Linked DNA regions of Cricetulus griseus. The protein of the gene in region 1 purifies or fractionates together with the protein of each later gene. This does not show direct contact. Links are inferred from orthologs where the notes say so. Each region holds a gene or a part of one and is shown in the gene's direction. Other genes may lie near its edges.

Region 1 (4,742 bases):
CTCTCCAGAACGCACAGCGATGGGTCCAGGGGCTTGGAGGCCTCAAGCGGCCCATATACGCTATAAATTTCTTCAGTCTGTAGAAGGCCACACCACTCAAAGTGGCTCTCTGAATGGCACTCTCTGTGGCCTTCAAAGCTGTGACATTAGACCCCTCCTCTCGATCATTCAGCCCAACATCTCAAGTCGCTAGCACCCACAAAAGATTTAAAAACAATTGCACCCAAGGGCACTACTCAGCGCCCCTGTGGTCCTTAGAAGCCTCCCACCTAGTCTGGTTAGTAAGCTTAGGAGGCCCTGGGCGAAGGAGCTGGCTCCCTTCCGGGGACAGCGCTCGGATGTCGCAGGTCATGGCCAAGGAATCCAGCCCAGATGCTGTCTAGTCCCGCGCAGCCGAAGTGGCCCATCATCGTTGGGAGTCCAGATTCCAAACGCAGAACACCGAGACACTAGTGGACTCGTGAAAGGGCACCGCGCAAGCGACCCTCGGACCCCCAAGGCCTCATGCTGGGGATCCGACCCAAGGCAAGGCTTTCAAAATAGCCCCAGCGACATACAGACAGTAGAAAGACATTTTTTTTAAAAAAATATGTAAAAACACTTGGCTTCTCATAGCGAACACACCGCGGCAAGTTCCAGCACACAGAACAGTCTCCGCGCGCACCCGCAGCCGGCACGGTCTCCCGGATCTGGGATCGGGGAACGCAAGTGCCCCCTGTGGCCGGCCCGCGCCTGACCTCGCGGGCCTGGGACGGCACCGGTGGCCTGCGCAGGGCCCAGGAGGAAGTTGGAGCCTCGGGGCCGAGTAGAGGGCAGGTCTGCTGCGCGGGCGTGGTGGGGCCCTACCGAGCCGGGGCCACCCGGGGGACCGCGGCCAGGCCCGCTGGAGCTCGCGTCTCCCCACGTGGCGGGCCCCACGTGGAAGGGGCGGAGGAGGAAGGCTAGGGCGGGTGGAATCACCGCACCGGCCTCGGGACCCCCGCGCCTCCCGGGTGGCATGGGGCTGGGCTGGGGAGTGCCTGCCTTGCCCGGCCCCCTCGATTGCCCGCAGCGCCAGTATGCACTTTCGCGTAGCCGCTAATCCCTGGAGAGAGCCGATTTGTAGTGAGAAGTATCTGTAGGGGCGAGACCGGACCATGTGGGGTTGTGTCATTGGTTTGCAAAGAGAGACCCCGCCTTTGAAAAAAAAAAAAAAAAAGCGAGTGAGCGAGCGGGGACCCTCACCTCGCCTCCCGCCTCGCTCCTGCGCAGCCGGAGGGCACCGGAGCAGCGGCCCGCGCCGCTTCCGTCCTTCCCTTTCCTTTTCTCTGCGCTTTCCTCCTCCTTTCCGGGAGGAGAAAACAAATAAAGAAGAGCAAATAGCCGGGAGGCGCTTGGCTTCTAGGACCTTCCCTCCCCAGATCCAAGTTGCAGCCAGCATCCTCTGGGGGGTGAGCGCGGTGCGGCGCGGGCTCGGGCCGGGGACCCCCAGCGCAGCCCCCGCCTGGCCTCAGGGCTGGCGAGAGGGCGCGCGGCCGGGATGGGGGGGGGATCGGGAGCCGGTGGGCGGGGGAAGGGGGTGGGGTGGGTGGGGAAGTAGGAAGAGGCTCGGCGGCGACGGGAGGAGGAGGACGGGAAGGGAAGGAAGGGAGGGAAGGGAAGGGAAAGGAAGAGAGGGGAGGGCGGGAGGGGGTGGGGCGCGGAGCTGGAGAGATTAAGTTTTTGTGTGTGTGTCTCTGTGTGCGTGTGTCATTTTAAGGTGGCTCGGGAGCTGCCCAGAGGAGCCAGCGGCGGCTGAGGAGCGGGAGACCGAGCTGGGAGCCATGCCGCGCTGAGGGGGGGCCTCACCGCCAGCGCCACCACCACCACCGCCGCCGCCGCCGCCGCCGGGTGGGGTGGGAGGGGCGGGAGCCACCGCTACCGCCGCCGCCTCCCGGGTGGGCGCCCTTCTCCGTGGACGCCGGCGACCCAAGACGAGGTAAGAGGGGGGTCCTCGGGGAGGGCTGGGACTGCTGCCGCCCCCGCCTCACCTGCGGCCGCTGGCTGGGGCGCCGTGCCCGCGCCTCACTGCGCCACTCCGGGAGGAGGAGGGCGAAGGACACCGGGCCGGCATCCGAGGACATCTTTGGTCAGCGCCCCCGGCCCCGTGTCCACGCGCTGCGCCCGGGGGTGGACGCCCGACTGGGGGTTATCGCCCGCCGCCCCTCGCCACCGATTGCGCCTGCTGGCCGCCCTTTGCGCCAGGATTTTTGTTGTTGTGATGAGAGTTGATGAATGCGAAGTAGGCGGTCACCTTCCTTCCCATCAGGATTGGAAAAAAAAGGAAAGAAAAACCCGGAGCGCAGCGGCGTCCGGAGGGCAGCGGCGGCGGCGTCTGGCGACGGTTTCCTAGGCGCCCCCGGCTTGCTCCTGGAGCCGGGTGGGTAGGCGCGCGGGGGCCGCTGGCGATCTTGGACGAGCGCGCGGCGCGCCGCGGGGACAATACGGCCGGATCCCTGGGGACCAGGAGTCCGAGCGTACCGGGGTGCGGCAGGCCTTGCGCCTGTGAGGCGGGCGTGCGGCGGGCGGGGGTGGAGGGGAAGGAGAGGACGGGTCGGCGGGGACAAGTCGGGCGCGCGTGGCTCGGGGCCCCTGGGGGCGCGCCCCTGTCGGCCCGGGATCCCGTGCGGCTCCCGAGAGTGTAAGTGAGAGGCCGGGAAGGAGGCGAAGCGGATCCCTTTTGTTTTGCCGGCCCGGCATTGTTGGCTCCTTGGGGCAGCCGGGGCCACATCTGCCGCCGCCGCCGCCAGTGGCGCGCGGGGCTCGGCCCGCCAAAGTCGCGGCGGGGCGGGGGGCCGGGGCGGGCTGCAAGGGCGGGGGCGGGCGGCGCGGGCATTTCCTCTGCCCGGCCGCGCTCCCGCGGGCACCACTTCCTCCTCTCCCTGCGCCGGCTGTCCTCGGCGCCCTCACCCGGGCCGCACTTTTCGGGTGGGGCGAAGCAAAAAAGAAAGTTTCGTAGAAGGGGCTGATTGGGGCGCGCCTTGGGCACCAGGGACCCAGCGTGGCGTGGGCACGGTCGGGCCGCCGCATTCGCTTTCCTGCTACTGGTGTGCTCCGCGGAGCCGGACTCACCCGCAGGAAGAGCCTTTCTTCTCCGGCTCGCGCCCTCCCCAGTGCCTCGGGCTACTGGGGCTGGGCAGCGCGGGAGTGTCGGCGCACTCAGGCCTTGCTCCTCCGGGAGGCCCCGCGGCGTGGCCGGTCGCTTGCAGCCCATGCTGCGCCCAGGGGCTCGGAGGCCGCGGGCCCTAGAGCTTGGCGCGGTCACCGCGGGCACACACTCGCGCGCACACACTCCCTCCGGTGGCTTGCTTTCCGCCAGAGACGATGGTGGCAGACACCGAGGGTGAGAGCGCGCGCGTGTTTGTGGTACCCCTGCCCAGCCCCCACCCCTTACTTTTCCCAGAGGCGGCCCAAACAGCGGTTGGCTCCAGGGTACCCCTACGTTTGGGATTTTGTAGGGAATCGGGGGGAATATTTCGTGAAATCTATGCGTGCTAGGAGGCTGCTGGCAGTGGCCTACGTCGCCACGCCAGGCTCCCAACCTCGGGGAAACAGACCTTCCTGGATATTTGCCCTCTTTTCTTTAAAAATCAGAAATGGGAACTTCTTAGAGAGTCCTTGGTTGCGAGTGTCTTGAAGGGTAGGAAAGAACTCGATGCGTTGGAAATTTAAAATGCTGAACTCCTTTATTTGCGATTCTTTGGGTCGTGTGTATTTTTATCTGAGGTGGGTGGTTTTGAGGGAACATTGCATTGGGGTGGAGGGATTACAAAAGTGGTTCTGCTTTCTAACTTTGACGGGATGCATCAACTGTGGGACCTCTTTTCGAAGGAGATACCGCCTTCTCTCTCTTCGTGCTGGGTTCAAAGACAGTTTAAATTTTACCTCGCGCTCGGCTCCTGGGGCTGCTGTTTGCCTTTAGATAGATTCTCAAAGAACTAATTTCCATTTACTTCGGAGAATTCTGATTTCAAACATTTTTCAAAATAAATCTTTTACATCTTGAGTAATGGGGCTTTAAAAGGATCTTGTTTTTTTTTTATAATCAATTGATTTCAAAGAGTACTTCTTAACAGCAATTACAAAGTAATATTTTACATGCTAATTCAACATTTTCAGCCCTAGCAACTTTAATTCGAAAACAAGGTTTCCTTTTTTTGTTTGTTTGTTTCCTAAATAGCAACTGTATCTTAAAGTTGGAACATTGAATATCCTTTTGTCTGGCTGTAACACACTCCTGGAAAAAACCCCCAGTGCCCTTTTTATGGCCCCCCAAAGAAAAGTTAATGAGCTGGTAGGTTTCAAGCAAGAAGCAGGTCCTCCCTCTTACAAAATATGCTTATAGTCGCCATTGAAGTTGAATGTTAGCCGTGAATGTACTTGCCTTTAATGAAACCAGTCTAATCGTTCACACTTGATCAAGTATAACATGACCAAACAAAGGAAATAAGCCAGCATATTTCTGTAGAGCATTGAGGGGTTTAGTGTAAGTGTTGATGTTGGGTCGCCCCTCCCCCCACCCGCCCCAGTTCAAGAGAGAGGGTTGAAAGCTAGGGGGATTTATGACACTGATTGGTTTTTCTGTGCCCCAGGGGTAGGGGACCCAGCCGAGGTACGTCTCTGGAAAGCAGCTATTAGAGGGAATTAAAAGGTCTCAGGTTTGGAGCTAGTTCCGAACCTGACAAGGTGTGTTTTGGTTTCTTGTTTGGGGAGATACTTAAACT
Region 2 (4,760 bases), about 140 Mb from region 1:
GCTTTCATGCATCAGCACTGTGCTGGTTTAGTATATTATTCCTTATACTCCAAGGCATGTTTCAGTTGTTTCTATCCACAACTCTCCCATTTATACACTAACATTTAATAATTACATATTTGAAATAATGGCTTAGGTCATTTATCTCATAAAGTTGCCCCATACAATTCCCCCTTTAAAAGGGGTGGGAAACAGGGAGAGAAAGGTAAATTTACTTTTCTTGTTTCTTAATTAAATCATTTGAAGTGGGAAGGCCCATTTCTAGCCCAGATCTTTCTTTTCTTTGTTTTTTTTTTTTTGGGGGGGGGGGTGTTTCAAGATAGGGTTTCTCCGTGTAGCTTTGGAGCCTATCCTGGCACTCTCTCTGTAGACCAGGCTGGCCTCGAACTCACGGAGAGCCGGCTGCCTCCGCCTCCCAAGTGCTGGGATTAAAGGCGTGACCCACCAACGCCTGTCGAGAAAGGTAAACTTAAATCCTAATTACTGAAGACGAGAATCAAGGCATTTTGGGTCTTGTACAAAGTCACGGACTTCAGGTAAAAATCAGCCTCAGCTTTGCTTTTAGCCTCGAGGACACTGTACTGCTCAGATGTGTGTGTGTGTGAAACTCTAGCTATTTTGAGGCAGAGCTCCACTGTAGTGCAGGCTGGCCTCGAACACTTGGCCATCCTCCTGCCTCACACTCTCTCTCTCTCTGGCACTTGGGATTAATACGTTTTCCAGGACTGCTCTCCTAGGGTGCTTATGCCTCAAGGGCGAGTCTCAAGGCCCACAGCCTGGCCACCCTGGGACCCCTGCAGGGCGGGGTAGGCAAGGTGACAGCAGGTGAGGTAGGCGCGGATGAGGAAGTGAGCCTGGCACCGTGCGGGGATTACTCATGCTGCTTTCCTGAGAGCGGAATTTCTCGCCTCCTTCTCTGTCCAGATGAAGTTCAACCCAACTGCTGTCACTTCCCGTCCGGGTAGGCCGGGGAAACCCGCGCGTCTGTGGGAGGGGAGGGGAGTCAGGCAGAACTGGCCAGGTAGCTCGCCGCGCGTCCACGCTGCCCACGTCCCCGGCGCGCACGCGCGGCTCGCCGCGCCGACAGCTGGAGCGCGCGGCATCCGAGGAGTGCGCACCCGTCCGCGGGGGTCTGCGCGCGGGTGTGGCCCACGCCGCCAGCTCCACCTGGTCCACGAGGCCACCCTGTCGCCTCCCGGCCCGGTCCCCGGGGTGTCAGCACCCTCCTCTGTCACCCCATCACACCTGAGCAAAACTTTTCCCTCGCCTCCCCAATTCAAACTCCGCAGCGTCCGAAGCTGCCGCAAACCGCCCCGGCCCTAGCAACAAGGTTCCGGCCGTAGAGCGAGCGCCGCTAGGTGTTAGGAAGGTGATGTCGTAAAGCCGCGAGTGTCGTAAACCAGGTGCGGTGGGGAGGGGGAGGGGTGGAGGCGGCGGGTGTGGGGGGGGGAAGGGGAGGGAGGGAGGGAGGGAGGAGGGGGAGGAGGTGACTCGAGCATTTAGACACAAGCGAGAGGATCATGGCGGATGGCCCCAGGTGTAAGCGCAGAAAGCAGGCGAACCCGCGGCGCAATAACGGTGAGTGGCGGAGGGGCCCGGCGCGGCGGCGGGCAGCGGGCGGCCGGGCGAGGGGCGCTGGGCCGAGCGGGCCGGGGGCGGCGGCGGGGCCGGGCCGAGTGGAGTGGGAAAGTAAAGTAGTGCGCCCCGCTGCCGCCGCCGCCGCGGCCGCCGTCCTGGACCGTTATGTCTTACCTGCCTCTGCGCCTAGCGGCTCGCGCGGCCGCCGGGGACCGTTAGCCGCGCCGCATCCCGCCGCCGCGCCCGGCCACTTTTCCGCCCGCGGGTGGAGCGGCTGTTGCTTCTTTCCGCACTTTCTCCACTCTTGCCGCCCCTCGGCGTCTCCCCGCGCGCGATCCTCCCTCCGCGCAGGCCGCGGCGGCGGGGAACAAACTTGCGGCGGGCGGGCGGGCGCGCGGGCTGCGGGGCGGGCGGGCGGGAGAGGACGGGCGGCCGCGGGCCGGTTGCGTGTCGGCTGCGTGTCGGCCGTGCGCGCGTGTGCGCGGGAGCGGGCGCTGCGCGCCGGGTCGGGCGCCCGCGGTAAAGTTGCGCCTCGCGCGCTCGCGGGCTGGCGGGCGGGCGGGCGGGGATGGGGACGCGCGGGGACGCCGCTAGCCGGGCGCTCGCGGGGCTGGAAGTCGGCGCGTGCGGTGACCGTCGTGGGCTGAGCAGGGTCGGGCGGCTCCTAGCTGCTGCTGCCGTGGGGCGAGCGTGTGCGTGGACTCGCCGCCTGCCGCTCGCCGCCGGGAAGCAGCACAAGACTGGTCGGGACGCCCGGGCAGCCCGAGTCCCCGCGGGCACGGGGCTGTGTGCATGCGCCTGGCTTTGACTCTTTCGGTTTGGGGAAGTTGTTACCTGGGCCGGACGCGCGAGCCGAGGGCAGATAATGGGAGTTGGGCTGGCGCTCGGGGTCGCGAGTGGGGCGGGTGGGGGAGGGGGCGGGCGGCCCGACGGGCGCACGGGGCTGCGGCTGGCGGTGCAGCTGCGCGGGGTATTGATTTGCGCGAATGTGCCAGGGAAATACTCCTTGGCCTGGCTGCAGAGTTTTTTGTTGTTGTTGTTGTTGTTAGTGGTGGTGGTCTTTTTGTTTTTGTTTTGTTTTTTAAGAAAGAGGGAAAGCCACAGGCACCAGGAGAGAGCGCGACACCCGGACCTGTATCGGTGGGTGCATCGTGGGCTCTCCCAGCGTGGGGAGGCGAAAGAGTTGCTGGATGGTGCCTCTCCTAGGCGAGTGTGTGCTCTCGGCTCGCGGCGCGGACAGCCGTCTGCTCTTGGTCATTGTCTGGACAGTCCCTGCGGCGGCGGCCCGGGGGGATGCCCCCGCCCGGGTACCTGTGTGTGGTGATGGGCGGCCACAGCCCTGTGCTGCTGTGGCCGCTGCTATATAAGGAATTCCTCGTGCCTTTCGCACCCGGTGGCTCCGTGGGGCTCCCGCGGGGCGTTAAACGACGAGGGTTTTTTTGTTTTGTTTTGTTTTTTAAGAATGGGGGAATAAATGCGCCCCTGATGGCATCGATGTGGCGTCCGGAGAACTAGGAAATCCTGTTTAAGTGGCAACCCTGGCGCGCCCCCCGCGCCCCACCCCCGCCTGGTCTGTCTTGCTCCCTCCCCTCCGGGATGCCAAACGCCAGGTTTTGTAACCTTTCCTGGCAATTTTAGATTTTGTGTGGGATTTCCTGTCTAGAAACAGATAGGAAGATTTTAGGCTGTTCCAAAGAGGTTTCCTCTCTGTTGTAAACACATTTTGAATATATCTGTGCCTACATTAAAATCCCCGCTGCCATGAATGATTTTTCAGTTGTTCAGAAAAACGTTGCGTTTCAGAGAAGCCTGTTCGTTCAGAGGGAAAGGTGTGTAGCGTCATTGTGGAGAGGTGACTGGTTGTGGCAAGGACCCGAGCACAGGCTACTGCAATTGTAATTTCCTGCTTCTAGCGTCAAATAGTGTCTGTTCTACATTGAGCTGTTGCCGCTATTGCTGATGTGGCTTTATGAAAGGTAAGTTGGTTAGAAAAGGGCTGTTCGTTGACCTTACCTTATTTAAAATGTTGATCGCCAGAGAAAGGGGCTTTTCTTGTTGCTGACGACATGTGTGTGACATGTGAGTCTGAACCACCCAGCGTCTGTGCAGCTGCTGTAAACATGTTTACCTGAACAGGAAAGAATGGATTTTTCTCCTAGAGATCCTGTGATATTAATATCACACACATAAGGCATATCAACAGATGACTTAAGGGTGAAAAGCTATCCCGAAAGGTGCTTGAAATCAACAGGAAAGAGATTCTTGATCGCTGCAGCAAATGGCAACTTGTGCAGGTAGAAAAAAGATGGTGTTTAGTTTTCTCCTGCATGTATGTCAGCCCCCTCCTGTTTGCCGCCTTCCTTCTCAGGGGAGGGATTTATTTACCACGTTTGCTGTCAGTGTTCTTCCTTTGTGTTTAATATTAGAAAAACAGATTTGGGGCTCTTGAGCCTGAAATGTCTTGACTGCAGTATGCATTACTCCGAGAAAACAAAAGGTGTGTGAGATAGCGCTGTGCTACCACAGGTATCTTCCATTTTCATCACTTTTGGCTCTCTCTTTGTATTTCTTTTTGTTCTCTAATGCTTTCATCCATCGCTGACCGTTGCAGCCATGCTGTTTGATTTAGCTGCTATTTTTGCAAATTTAAAATGAAGTTATATGCATTGTGTTGTGAAATCTGGGAATAGGTGCTGACTGATATTTCTTAGCAACGCAGTCATATTTAAGTTGCAGTTGTTTGGGGAGAGAATTATCTGGAAAGATATTAACTCTTAAATTTTATTTAAATGAATAAATAGTGGTGTATACAGTAGGAGATAGTAATAGAGATATTTTGTTATTTATGTATAGATTATATTTGTATTCAATTTTTGAAATAAGGTATATAGATTTTACAGCTAAGCCAGCAGCAAAACATTTTTATTTCCTTCCTAGAATGTGTCTGCAGGCTAGGATACTGATGACAGCATCAAAAACTATAACTTAACAAGGGTGTAGCAATTGAGCAGGTTTGGCTAGATCATCAAACCTTCTGTGGGGACAATATGGTAATGATGCTAGCCATCTAAAGGAATGGCATTACAGTTGCTAAAATTGATTTTTCTGTTTATAGTTTAATGCTTTGTTGTATTTAGAAATATTTCTCTTTCCCAAAGTTCTATTCTATGTGATGTTTTCCT
Region 3 (4,811 bases), on another chromosome or scaffold:
CCCTAGTGCCTGATTTCTCTGTAAACCAAAAATGTCTCCCTCAATTATGATATCTCCATTCTTGTTATCATGTATTCTTCCCCTGACTCATACTTTCTGCTCCCTCATGTCCTCGGCATCCCTCTTCTTCTCCCCTTCTCATTCTCCTAGCTCCCTCCCCCTTCTTCCTGTGCTCCCAATTTGCTCAGCAGATCTTGAACCTCTCCCCTTCTCCAGGGGACCATGTATGTCTCTCTTAGGGACCTCCTTGTTTATTAGCTTCTTTGGCAGTGTGGATTGTAGGCTGGTAATCCTTACTCTTAAATCTAAAATCCCATATGAGCGAGTACATACCATGTTTGTCTTTTTGCGATTGGGTTACCTGGCTCAGAATGGTTTCTTCTAGATCCATCCATTTTCCTGCAAATTTCAAGATTCCATTGTTTTTTTTTTTTTTTTTTTTTTCCGCTGAGTAGTACTCCATTGTGTAAATGTACCACATTTTCTCTATCCATTCTTCGGTTGAGGGGCATCTAGGCTGCTTCCAGTTTCTGGCTATTACAAATAGTGCTGCTATGAACATGGTTGAACATATGTCCCTGCTGTATGAATGTACTTCTTTTGGGTATATGCCTAAGAGTGGAATTGCTGGATCTTACTTTAATATCACCTCTTTAGGGAGGAGGCAGTGTGCTTGTGTGCATGTAGAAGGAATTATAAATGGTAATAGTTAGGAGATGCGAGTGTTGCATTAGACTGTCAGCTCCCATCCTTTCCCTGGGCCTTGCAGGATGGCTTACACAGGTGCTCAATAAATGTCACTCTATTAAACACAGGGACTCAATTTTTCAAATCCTTTCTTTGGATTTCTGCTCTTCTCCCAGTGCCCAGCCAATACCACATCCAGTCTGATGCAGTAGGCAAAGCATGTGGAGTCTGATAAAGTTCGACACCCCTCCGGTCCTCAGACCATTCCTTAGCCGTTGACAGCATCACACTCCCCCCATCTACTGGAGCCTATAAAGAAATGGACATGCACGTGAATGCCAGCACTTTTGACAGCTTTATAAACACATATCGGTGCTCAGAACCGTGCTTATACTCAAGTCCCACGAATACTTATTCAATCCAGGAGGTACAACCTGCCATTAAAGTCTCTAAGTCAGTAACGAAGAGTTATCAGGGGCTGAGGAGGGGAGGAGAACACGCGAATCTCGGAAGGCGTGAGAATCTCCGACCACCACACAGCGGGAGAGCACCACCTTCTGAAGCCCTGGGGAGTGCTCAAGCGGGTTCCTCTCGGGGTCCCCGCGGCACGTGGCGGGCTGGGGCCGGAGCGTCGCGGTGGTGGGGGAGGGGAGCGGCGTGGGCCCCGCGGAGGGGTCCAGACAGCCCGGGATACGTTTGAGCAGGCGCCGAGTGCGCAGGCTCAGTCCGGGCGCAACCAGTACCTGCAGATCGGAGGGGGAACCCGACGGCTGCGGGGGTCCGGGCTGCGAGCGCGGAGCCGAGATCCGCTCCCTCGCACCTCGGGACTGCGTACGACCTAACTGTCACTACACCCCTCCCGCCCCATCCGGCGGCGTCCACGCCTAACCGACCCCTGCGTCCGTCTGCAGACGCGGTTTCCCCTGTCACTCCATAGTGGTCGCGCCCGCCTCCCAGCCCCGCCACCCTGGGCCTCCCCCGCCGAGTGTCGCGCGTCGGCGCCGCTGCCACCCCCGCTCGGTGATCACTGCCTTCCCGGCTCCGGCTCCCATCTCGCTCCGGGCCGTCCTTGTTCCGCGGGCCGCCGCGCCCGCTGTCCCCTCAGTCCCCCTTGTCTGGCCGCCGGGCCGCGGCGGGCGGGAGCAGCCGGAGGAGGAGCCGCAGCCGGGAGGGAGGCGGCGTCCCGAGCCCATGGCGTACAGTCAAGGAGGCGGCAAGAAGAAAGTGTGCTACTACTATGACGGTGGGTGGCCGTGGAGCCAACGGCGGGGCTGCGGGGAGGGCGCGGCGGAGCGGACGCGCCGCTCGGGGTGTTAAGGGTGGCTGTCTGCGGGGACAGGGACACGGCCTACCCGGCTTCGCGGTCGTGGCCCGGAGACGGCCGCCCTGGCTCCTCTCGGGTCCTCCGCACGGGCACGCGCAGGTTTGGGGTGTACTGCCTCGAACCGGTCCCCGAGGAACCCCACTCGGCACCCCGGGCCTGACTACACAAAGCCGGCGGCCTGGAGCTCCGCCCCACGTCCCCGTCCCCTCCCCCGCTCGCCGGGTCCCCCTTCTTGCTGGCGATCTGTCTGTGCTGCGCTTCCAAGCCTCACCGGGACCCCGCCGCTCGGGTGGGGCTGCGGAGGAGTTACTCCTGGCGGGAGGCCAAGTTCGCAGAGCGGCGCTGTCTCGCTCGTGTTTTGCGTGGACTCCATCCCTCGCCTTTGTTCGCCGGGTTCTTTGAGCGCCTCTTTCTCAGGGTTCGGACTGAAGGGCTGCATGCACTTCCTCGGTGACAATTAGGGGTTTGGAGTTGGAGCTAGGCAGGCCTGTGGGGAAGTAGTAAGAGGAGGGAGGTAAGCTTGGAGTTGTTCCTACTAGATGGGTCCTAGCATGCCTCTGTGGGAGGTTGTTACCACCCACGTCTTTGTTGCTCTTTGTTCGATATGCAGTTATACCCTGCTCTGGGGGGGTTAGGAGAAAACATGGGCACCTTGCTTAGGAAGGGTGGTGGGGACCCTGCTGCAGGAAACTTTTGAGAAGTGAACTAAATATTCCAAACAGGTAGGGTGGAGCTCACAATGTAGTTAGTGAATGGTACAAGGTGGTGGTAAGGGGTGATTTGGAGTATGGGCAATAATTGTCTGAGTTCTATAGGCTGAGCAGGTCTCGGGTCTCAGTTACACTAAGTAATGCCCTGTCTTTCGGATTTCACCAAGACATTAGTAGATGACTGTTGAGAGAAGGAATAATTTGACAGAACTAGCCTCATTGCCCTGAAAGACCTGACTGATAATCTACAAAGCAATGCAAAGTTGGGAGCTGTTTTCTATATTTTTTGTGTTGAAGTCACAGTATCTTGGAGAGGTAGATAAGAGCCTAGAGATCCTAGGCTGAATGAAACTGACTTTAACTTGAAAATAGTCCTACCTATTCTTGGTTTGGTGGAAATTTTTAATGCTTGGATTTTTTTTGGGGGGGTGGTAGGGGGCGGTTAGAGACAGGGTTTCTCTAGGTGTATCCCTGGCTGTCATGGAACTCGATCTGTAGACCAGGCTGGACTTGAACTCCCAGAAATCCTCCTGTTTCTGCCTCCCAAGTGTTTGGGTTAAAGGTGTGTGCCACCCCTGTTGAGCATTAATACCTGTTTTAATAATAATGATAATAATAATAATAATGAAAGACACCCATGTCTTTGGCTGGAAAATCAAAAACCTTGCAGAAAGCTAGGAGAAAATAGAGAAGACTATCTAAATGACATTTTGTTTTGTTTGGGGGCTTTTTTTTTTTTTTTTTTTTTTTTGAGACAGCCTCTCTGTATGTGGTCCTGACTGCCCTAGAATTCACTATGTAGGCTGATGTCTCACTTACAGAGATCCATCCACATGCCTCTGTCTCCACGTGCTGGGATTAAAGGTGAGTCCTTAAAGGTGAGTCCTTAAAGGCGTGCCCAGCTTAAATTTCAGAGGACTATGTATGTGTTGAATAAATTTATGTGAAGTTACACCATCATGGAGGGAAGAGATGGGAGAACCTGTCAGTTTAAACTTGAATTACATTGTGAAGTTGGATTCATGGCAAACACTTGTCCTGCATTCTCTGATCCACTGGAAAAGATGTAACCCTGTAAATGAATTTGAAAAATTATAATTATAGCTTTTCTAAAGTAAAGGCTCGATTTTTGTTAGAAAGGTTTAACAGTCGGAACGGGTGCTTAGGACCTTCAGCTGTCAGCTGCTGTTGTCAAACAGGACTGTAGCTGTTTCCTGAGCAGCTATTGGTTCCTGAGTTCATGTTTGGAGGTGAGCCATTGTTGAGGGGCAGGATAGGCACTGGTCACAGAGATGGGAGGAATGGAGGAGGTTTTCAGTCATTTGATTTTTTACATATGCCTAGTTGTAAGCAACCAACTGTATAACTGATGGTGGAAGTCTGCTGGGTTATCTGTCTCTTGTCTGTTCTTACTTGGTGTGTATTTAGAATACACTTACTTAACTTCTGAATATTTGCATTTGGGGGAGCTAACAAAACCACAGAGATTCTTAAATTGATGTCATGGTTATGCTGATTAACATGGGATGACATGCTAGACTACACAAATTATTCTCTACACTTCTGTCTTCAATGCCAAACCCTATTCTTGTTTTCAAAAAAAAAGCAGTGACTTAATTGTCTTTTAAATTGTGGACAGAGGGTGCCAAGTAAAGTAATTTTGTATAAGAAAAGCATATGACTTTTAGATGCACAAAGGGTTGGGTTGGCAAAGGGCAATACCAGTAGTAATGGGACTTGAATAATATACTAGTTTAAGCTAGCTGGGGTTTTTTGTTCTGTTTTTCGAGGCAGGGTTTCTCAGTGTAGCACTGACTGTCCTGGAACTCACTCTGTAGACCAGGCTGGCCTCAAAGTCACAGATCCGCCTGCCTCTGCCTCCTGAGTACTGGGATTAAAGGCTCATGCCAGCACCATCCCACTCTAAGCTAGCTGGTTTTAACTTGGTTGGTAGAGGAAGTAGAGGGAAGGAAAAGAAAAGCAGTGAAGAAGCAAATCCTGTAACCATGGCTGTCCTCTTCTTTGTAGGTTTAATGGGGCCAATAGGCACACACTGAGCCTCTAGGCAACTTAGAGTGTTTTCTCTGTGT
Region 4 (4,784 bases), on another chromosome or scaffold:
GAATTTTTGGCTTTTCAAGACAGGGTTTCTCTGTGGCTTTGGATCCTATTCTGGAACTAGCTCTTGTAGACCAGGCTGGTCTCAAACTCACAGAGATCCTCCTGCCTCTGCCTCCGGAGTGCTGGGATTACAGGCGTGCGCCACCACTTGTGTAAGGATTCAGACATTATGCTGGCCTGCCCGCAGTACCCTAGTCAGGCCAGGGTTCCATGGTTGTGTACTCTGCACGCAGGTGCAAAGGACCCCTTTGAAAGAAAGATCCCCACCCACTTAAACTCTCTTCTCTTTCCTGCTGTCTCCCTCTTCTCTTCTGTCCTCTCTCTGTCTCTGTGTCTCTTTGCCTCTTTTCTCCCTCTGTCTGCCTGGCATGTTTGATCCCCGCCTCGGTCAACCTTGGCCGCCATGGAATCTGACAAGGTTCCCCTCAAGCTTTATCATAATAAATTGAACTCAGGACCTCTGGAAGAGCAGTCAGTACTCTTAACCTCTGAGCCATCTCTCCAGCCCCCATTGCCTCTATATTTTAAGTGTGGAGATTACAGGTACTAATCATTCTGTCTTATGTACAGTTAACAAAACTAGAAATAGACATCTACCAAGACGAAAACACGGGAGGCAAAGGCAGGCAGTGCTTTGTGAGTTCAAGGACCCCCAAGGCTGTTACACAAAGAAACCAGAGAGAGAGAGAGAGAGAGAGAGAGAGAGAGAGAGAGAAGCACACAGTTTGAGGAAGATGAGATTTAAGTGGGGAAACAAGGCAAGTGAGTATGAAGGTGCACACCCGTGAGGCAGGGGGATCACTAGGTCCAGACCAGCCTGAGGGAAACTCTGTGTCTAGATAAACAGACAAACACAGGAGGACCACGGAAGGCAATACATTGGGAGGGGGAAGATTGGGCTCCCCCATTGTACATAATGATATTTTTCAAAATGGCTTACCAATGAAAAACCCTGTCAGATCTGTTGTGTCCTTAGGGTCATTCTCTATTAAAAGCTCTGGCTAAGTGTGGTGGCACACTTTGACCCCAGCACTCTGGGATTAAGGAAACCCTGTCTGGAAAAACAAACACAAAAGCAAACAAACACTACCCCCCCAAAACAAAAAAAACAAAAAAAACATGGCCAGGAGGTGTGGCTCTTTCCTTCAGACATTAGTACTGTAGAGGTTGACTGTAATTCCATTTTAGGGGGCTGAAGCAGAAGTGCCATGAATTTCACCAGCTGGGACTACACAGTGAGAACCTGGTTTCGTTTGTTTTCTGTTTGTTTACAAACAAACAAAAACAACAGAAGAGGAAACACACCAACAACAGAGTCCGCTGAACTCTATTCTAAGTAACTGTGGCTGTGCTCGAATCTAGTATTTACAAGGGGAAAAAAAAGTTCTGTGGGAATATGATATTTCCTTTAAGATGCAATAGTTTTGCCACCTACTTTCCCAATCTGATCAAGTATGCCCCCTTGGATGGCCATGTAATCTCACTTGGAAATCTTCCTCAAGGCTTTGTCTTAAGAAGAAAGATCATAGTCTTGGTTCCAGTAACTGGTACTAAAAAGGAAGCTTCTGGCCACCAGGGTTACAATCATTTGCCTATGAATAGCTGAGGAAGTCGTTTTGTTGTTGTTTTATGTTATTATTATTATCATGCTTCTTATTATTATTTATTGACAGTGTCTCACCGTGTATCCCTGGCTGGATACTTGCTATGGACTACAGTGGCTTCAAACTCACAGGAATCCTCATGCCTCTGTCTCTGCAGTACTGGGATTAAAGGCATGCAACACCACACCCTGCCAAGACAGCTATATTTTCAGATTGCTCCAGTGTTTATTCCTTACTGTGATCTCCAAATACTCGGGGTATGTCTGAAGTCTTGAAGATCAGACGTCTTCATCCGGTAAGCATTAGGAAAGAGATTGGTGTTTAACAGAATAGAGCAGAATGTAACAAATTAAGCAGCACCATCTACGGTCCAGGCTTTTTTACCGTTGTCCTGTTTGTGGACCTCTGGGGTGTTGAGCATGCTGCGTGTTGGGCGAAATGGGAACTGCACTGGCGGAAGTGGATGCCTCTGACACTGCTAATTAAGGAATGTGGAACCCTTCCTTTCTGAGTCAGCACCGAGGTATGTAGAACTCTGCCCAGCTCTCTGCTTACTGCATGGAAGTTTAGAAATACAACCAGAGTAGAGTGTCTTGCCTTTTAACGTTTAAGAAGCAGGAAGGAGGTGCAGGGTGTGTGTGTGTGTGCCCTCTCAAGTGCTGGTTTAAACAGTCCCTCATCTTTGGAAGGGTTCAGGGTAGCTGGCCCTTTTATCATCGGATCATGCTTACTGCGTGGATTCTGATGGCACATTGCTGTCCCAAAAGAGCATTGTATGCACCAGTAACAAGCCCCAGTTTTCAGTCACTAGAGTTTCATAACAAGGAAAACATCTCACAAGGTTGTTAAGATTTTAGTTTTAAATTTCTTTTTGGGCAAAGACATCTTTCGTTTCAAAGGTTGCTATTGGCAGGTTTATGGGAAATAGAGAAAAACAGGAAGTAGAGAAAAGGTCATTCATATCCCATTATTGAAAAAAATGACTATTTAGAGTATTCTGAACAAATTTGAGGTGCATGTAAATAGAATAGCAAAAATAGTAGAATAGTCCTCTCCAAACCAGCACCTGGCTCTATAATTTCAATGTGTTAGCCACAACTGTTTCAATTCTCTCCTTTTATAATTTGGGAAAATATTATAAATTTTTATTTATCATGTCAGTTTTCTATAGGTTTCTGTATATATCTTTAAGTATATATATAGTTATGTATAATTTATTAAAGAATTTTACACATTCCATGTTTTACAGATAGTTTGTTGGTATCACATAATATTTAATCCATACTAAAAATTTCCCTAATAAGAAAATGTTTTCAATTCTTTCTTTGTTCTTCACATTTATTTATTTATGTGTATGTACATACATGGGACACATGTGGAGGCCAGAGGACAACTTTTGGAAGTGAGTTTTTCCCTTTTCCCTGTGGGTCCTGGGTATTGAACACACACAGGTCATGAGGCTTGGCACCCAGTTCCTTTACCAGCTGAGCCATCTCCCTGGCCTGATTTTTCTTTTATTCTTTTTTAGGGGAGGAGGTGTTTTGAGACAGACTTTCTTTATGTAGCTCTGGCTGTCCTGTATCTCACTCTGCAGACCAGGCTGGCCTTTAACCCACAGAGGTTCACTTGCCTCTGCCTCTTTACTGCAGCGATTAAAGGTGTGACCAGAGATGCTGGGCTGATTTAAATTTCTTGTTTATTTATTTTGGTTTTCTCTCTGTTATAAAGCCTAGGCTGAGCCTCTTGCTTCAGTCTCTGAAAGGCTGCAATTTCAGGCTTGGACCATTTGCATGGTGGATTTAAACATTTTTCATGTGTTCCAGCATTCTTCATCATCATCTTTTTGCTTTCTTAGAAAAAGATTTGTAGGTTTTTTTTTTTTTTTTTTTTTTGAGACTCAGAGATCCTGCCTCTGTCTCCCAATTTCTGGGTAAGCGTGTGTGTCACTATGCCTAGCTTAATTTGTATTATTTATTTATTAATTTTTGTTTTTTTGAGACTTTGTTCCCTGAGTAGCCTTAGCTGTCCTGGAACTTGATTTGTAGACCAGGCTGGATTCAAACTCACTGAGATCCACTGGCCTCTGGAGTACTGGGATTAAAGGCATGCACCACCACCTCTGGGCTTAGTGTAACTACATCTTGGATTTTCTATTTGCTATCAAAACTATCTCCCAATGGGCTACTACAAATTAAAATAAAGTTTCAATTAATTAATTTATTAATTAATTTCAGTAAGGGTCTCTGGTAGCTCAAACTGTCCTGGTACTTACTGTGTAGCCAAGCATGACCTGAAACTCCAGATACCCCTCCTCTTGTCTCGAAGTACAGGGGTCACATAAAGCTCTGATTTCATCTTTTTTGTTGTTGTTGTTTTGTTTTTCGAGACAGGGTTTCTCTGTGTAGCTTTGGAGTCTATCCTGGCACTCGCTCTTGAGACCAGGCTGGCCTGGAACTCACAAAGATCCGCCTGCCTCTGTCTCCCTAGTGCTGGGATTAAAGGCGTGTGCCACCAACGCCCCGCTCTGATTTAATCTTTAAAAGATTTATTTCATTTTTTATTTATGGGTATGTGTGTGTACAGGTGTGCAGGTACTAGGTGAGGCCAGAATAACATGGGACCCCATGTTAGAAATTACAGGCAGGTTGTGAGTGGCTGTTGCTGGGTTTTGGGATCTGAACTCTGTAAGAGCTTCAAGCCTCCTAATGGCTGAGCCCTTTAGGAGGGGCTGAGTCCAAGTTTTGATTTTAAAATGGCTGTGCCTGCTAGTGTGGAATAACTCCTTTGACTTGGGGAAGCGTGGGCATTTTATCTCTGTAGCTATTGTTGCTGGGCAATCTCCTCTCCTAAGAACTCTTTCTCCTCCGGGCCTGGGTCCTTAGGCTCCCTCCCAGCGCGGTCACTGCTGAATCCGGATGTATGAAGTCTGTAGGGCCCTTGCCTGTCTCCCCGCTATGGTACACGCGGACTGTACCAATTTACACCTCCATTTACAAAGGCTGAGCGAGGCCCTAGGAAGATGCTTCAAGGCGGAGCCTTTCAGAGTTCCTATAAATCAGTGGCCGCGGGAGGCCGCCTTGAGCTAGTCACGTGACGGTGCTCTTCTGAAAGTAAATACACATTTTCTTAAGCTATAAAAACATGGGCTTTGAGCACTGCCAAACAACCACAAAGTGACTTG
Region 5 (3,741 bases), on another chromosome or scaffold:
AAATATGATTTACGAACAGCTTTTCACAGTTGTTATCAGAGAGGTTTTGTGTGATCATGCCAGCCTCCTTTAGATGAACCAAGCCCCAGTCCATAATGAGAAAGTTGGCAGCTCTCAAGGTAGCTGGAGTGTCCGGGTGGCGGCTACCAGCCGGGCCTCATGTTTTGCCTTGTTTACAGCTGACAGTGTTATTATTCTGATTGGGGCTCTGCTCTCTTATCATATCGTTGTGTTGAGCAAGCCTTTTCCTCTCCGTTTGTGTTTCCTGGCAGGGCTTTTCTTGCCTTATTGACAGTTTGTAAAAATATGCATTAATTTGGAGCTTCAAGCATGTATCATGGTGTCTCTCTGCTGTGTTTGCTTGAAGTTGATTAATGATAGACCCTCGCTTGGGGTCGTCCTCTGGAGGGTTCTTTCACAGGGTCTGCATGTTAACTAGCAGAGCAGAACACACAGCGAGTCATGATTAGCCCAGCCAGCCTCCTGTGCTCAGTGGTCCCCATGAACCACTGCCGTATTACAGATTCCCGTTTCACGTAATTACTTGCAGGGTGGCATTCATCCACCCAGGATGTCTCTACGAGGCCTGTTATTTGGCACTCCGAAGTGTGGTCCCAGGACCAGCACCATCACCCGGAATCTCTTAGAAACACAGAGTCTGAGCTCCATCCGCTGTACGTCACAAGGCCCTCCAGTAACTCATGCGTCCTGAAAAGCAGGAGAAATAATTTCTGTACAGAATCCTTCCTAAAACAGGGATGTCCACCAGATCTTTCATTGAGTGGCCCAGAAGCCCCTGGACACATGTGGTCCCTAGACCCTTGGGATGTAGGCAGTGAAAATGACAACAGACATGAAGTTATAGCAAGTTTCCCACCATATTTGAAAAACACACGTGGCCAGGGTGACTCTGCCTCTACTGGATAGTGTTGTTGCTATAGGATACATCTTCTAAGTTACCCCAACACCAGTTGTATGTACATCAATCCAGAAGCCCTCTAAGCCTGTTTCTCTCTCCCTCTGTAGGCACCCTGTACACGTCAAAGAGGAACCCCTTGACCCTGAGGAAGCGGAAGGGCCTCTGTCCTTAGTGACAACAGCCAACCACAGTCCAGATTTTGACCATGACAGAGATTATGAAGACGAACCAGTAAATGAGGACATGGAGTGAACCTCTGGGCGGGCCGACCCCTGAGACAGAAGATTGGGAAAAAAGCAAAACAAAAACAAATTAAAAAAAAAAATAACACGTCAAAAGTTAGCAGTGAAACCTTTCTCCGCTTGTTGTACAGTCTGGAGGATTTTTCGCTACATTTTGACAACTCTGAAATGTGTTAACTCTTAGTGCCATCAAGAATCCCATTTGGGAGTATTTTTGATTTTTCTACTTTTTGTTGACAAAAGGGATTTGTACTCTGTGCATTGGATGGACCTGTTTGGTACTTGGGATTTTCCTCTTTGAGTCAACATCAGTGTTGTAAATTCGATAAACGGATTCACTTTTAGCAGCAGACTTTGAACTGCAGTTTTGTCCTGCCAAGGCCGACACCGAGGACACCCGACTGAGCTCGCGCACCTGCGCCGCAGACCAAGCCTTCGCCCGAATTCAAGATTCCAGTGGACGACCTATTTGCACAGCACTGCATGTTGATATCACTGCCTTTACTCACTTTGGTTTTCTTTTTGTTTGTTTGTTTTTGTTTTTGTTTTTGCTTCCAGTTGGGATGGGGAAGGCCTTTGTGTGTTTATTGGGGGGAGGGGTTAAAAATAATTATCCCAAACTTTTTAATGTATTGCTTTTTTTTTTTTTTTTTTTTTTTTTTTTTTTTTGCTTCTTCTATACCATTTTAAGTTCTGACCTCAGGCCTCCATTTGGGCCCATGGCCTCTTGGAGGCTTCACGTTTTCTGTACCTTGTGATGAATGTTAATAGGTGTTTTTATTATACAAAGCTGAATGTCATTTCTCGTCTGTAGTTTTCTGGCACTCATTCCATTTTCCTATAGACATCACCACGTTTCTCTCAAGTTTAAAAAAACAAAACAAAACATTCCGTTTTGGTCTTTTTTTCCAAAAATTAAAAAAAAAAAAAAAGATCCCAAAGGCTGCACCTTACACCTGAAGGTCCTCTCACAGGGACATGGTGTCCTGCCAGAAAGAGAACGAATGACAGAAAAGGAGAGAGAAACACACGCACATACTCTAGGAACATAGCAGATTCATTTCACAAAAGCAGTATTGGGGTGGGATGGGAATGTTGGAGATTTTTCTTTTCATAGAGCCCGCCATTGTGAGTAACTGCTGCCACATTCTCTCAACGTCAGGAAACACAGCCAAGAGGAGACGATGACAAGAGTAAACAATCCTTAATAATTAGACTGGCATGATGACCACGGAAGGCTCTCCCCCCCACCCCCTTATAATCAAGTGGCCAGGACCACAGATTCTGTGTCGTCCTTAACAGCAGGGGTTGCTTTGTTTGCAAAATGACCAAAAAGCCAGCTTCCCTGACTAACTTTACTCAACATGGTGATAGTGCTGAGTTTGTGCATCGGTTGAGACCAGCTTGGTGGCGCTCATCTATTTTAATGCAAACGAGACATCACCTTGCACTTATTATGGGAGCTAATGAGCACTGAGCCCAGTAGATGGTGATGTGTTGGTTTCCAGGATGCAGAGTCTACACTGCAGTTGAGCCTGCAGTGTGATAGTCTCACACCACCCGAGTAGCACAGACTTAACAGGTGACACCAGTAGACAGACTGAGGCTTCTGGGACCAGGGCCCACAGAATTCGATGGCTCTAGGTCGGTATACCCCTCAGCCCTTCAAACCCCTCCACACTTCCATCTGCACCCACTTCCCTGGCATTTATTTATCTAGGGCTGTAGCTTTTTGTTTGGGTTTAGTTGGAGAGCCTTTCGAAGCTTAATTTATATACTTTGTACCTTTTATTTCTAAAATTACCAAAGATATTATGCAAAGGTAAATTATTTTCTTTTATGCTTTATCTGATGAAGCCAAATATCCTCTTATTGTTGATCAAAGGAGGCAAAAGGATTCAGAGGCAAATGATGAGGTCCAGGCTGTTTGCCAACCCGAGGGAAATAACTGCCCCTCCAACAGAGTTCATTTAGCAGACTAAGTAGGCAATGGAACCAAAGTTTTTTACTTTTTTCTACTTTTTTTCCTTTTCCTTTTCTGTACTTGTACAGAGACCAAAACTAACTCCTGTAAGGAGAAAATATGGGGCTACTGCAGAGAAAAAAAAAAATACAAACAGGAAAACAGTATTATAGCTCCTACGGAAAGAATGAGATACCATCTCAGAAAAAGAAATGAATGTATGATGCTGAAATTAGTGTGTAAATCAAGGAGACACTTAGGATGACTTAGGAGAACAGAAAAGTGTCTGACTGCACTAGGCCACTTCTAGAATAAAGAGTTTTTGGTTTTGTTTTTGGTTTTTTTTTTTTTTTTTTTTTTTTTTTTTTTTTTTTTTTTTTTTTTTTTTTTAGAACATTGGTATGCCACTTTTGTTTAAGGGCTGTGCTGTGATCACTGCATTAGTTTTGTTTTATCTTGGCACATATATCCTCTAGTTCTAGATTCTTCCTGCTTTTTGTTGTTGTTTTTCCTTTCTCAGACTACGGTTTGGTCAGCATTTTTCCTTTACACACACACGAAAAGGTAGCATTCCCATCCACTCATCAGCTTAGAATAGAACGTCTTTGGCAATTACT

The links.
Region 2: the proteins of Ctbp2 (region 1) and Zeb1 purify together in Homo sapiens (affinity purification with western blotting; 5 studies listed by BioGRID and IntAct, with this or other methods). This does not show direct contact. The link is inferred for Cricetulus griseus from reciprocal best matches to the Homo sapiens genes CTBP2 and ZEB1.
Region 3: the proteins of Ctbp2 (region 1) and Hdac2 purify together in Homo sapiens (affinity purification with mass spectrometry; 5 studies listed by BioGRID and IntAct, with this or other methods). This does not show direct contact. The link is inferred for Cricetulus griseus from reciprocal best matches to the Homo sapiens genes CTBP2 and HDAC2.
Region 4: the proteins of Ctbp2 (region 1) and Znf217 purify together in Homo sapiens (affinity purification with mass spectrometry; 7 studies listed by BioGRID and IntAct, with this or other methods). This does not show direct contact. The link is inferred for Cricetulus griseus from reciprocal best matches to the Homo sapiens genes CTBP2 and ZNF217.
Region 5: the proteins of Ctbp2 (region 1) and Foxp1 purify together in Homo sapiens (affinity purification with mass spectrometry; 3 studies listed by BioGRID and IntAct, with this or other methods). This does not show direct contact. The link is inferred for Cricetulus griseus from reciprocal best matches to the Homo sapiens genes CTBP2 and FOXP1.

What each region holds. Positions count from the first base shown.
Region 1 is NC_048596.1:67,722,834-67,727,575, forward strand, and holds the start of Ctbp2 (C-terminal-binding protein 2), read left to right. Parts: upstream 1-1,586; intron 1,587-1,679; exon of another isoform or gene 1,680-1,738; 5' UTR 1,739-1,957; intron 1,958-2,009; coding exon of another isoform or gene 2,010-2,102; intron 2,103-2,377; exon of another isoform or gene 2,378-2,398; intron 2,399-4,742. Other genes in the region: translation initiation factor IF-2-like, read right to left, coding at 503-1,115, 1,225-1,586, 2,010-2,102. UniProt on the Homo sapiens protein: Corepressor targeting diverse transcription regulators. Functions in brown adipose tissue (BAT) differentiation. Isoform 2 probably acts as a scaffold for specialized synapses.
Region 2 is NC_048596.1:208,794,763-208,799,522, reverse strand, and holds the start of Zeb1 (zinc finger E-box-binding homeobox 1), read left to right. Parts: upstream 1-1,466; 5' UTR 1,467-1,520; coding exon 1,521-1,578; intron 1,579-1,752; exon of another isoform or gene 1,753-2,118; intron 2,119-4,760. UniProt on the Homo sapiens protein: Acts as a transcriptional repressor. Inhibits interleukin-2 (IL-2) gene expression. Enhances or represses the promoter activity of the ATP1A1 gene depending on the quantity of cDNA and on the cell type.
Region 3 is NC_048595.1:259,837,251-259,842,061, forward strand, and holds the start of Hdac2 (histone deacetylase 2), read left to right. Parts: upstream 1-1,663; 5' UTR 1,664-1,878; coding exon 1,879-1,930; intron 1,931-4,811. UniProt on the Homo sapiens protein: Histone deacetylase that catalyzes the deacetylation of lysine residues on the N-terminal part of the core histones (H2A, H2B, H3 and H4).
Region 4 is NC_048599.1:9,187,409-9,192,192, forward strand, and holds the start of Znf217 (zinc finger protein 217), read left to right. Parts: upstream 1-1,561; 5' UTR 1,562-1,898; intron 1,899-4,784.
Region 5 is NC_048601.1:45,049,409-45,053,149, forward strand, and holds part of Foxp1 (forkhead box protein P1), read left to right. Parts: intron 1-1,026; coding exon 1,027-1,171; 3' UTR 1,172-3,741. UniProt on the Homo sapiens protein: Transcriptional repressor. Can act with CTBP1 to synergistically repress transcription but CTPBP1 is not essential. Plays an important role in the specification and differentiation of lung epithelium.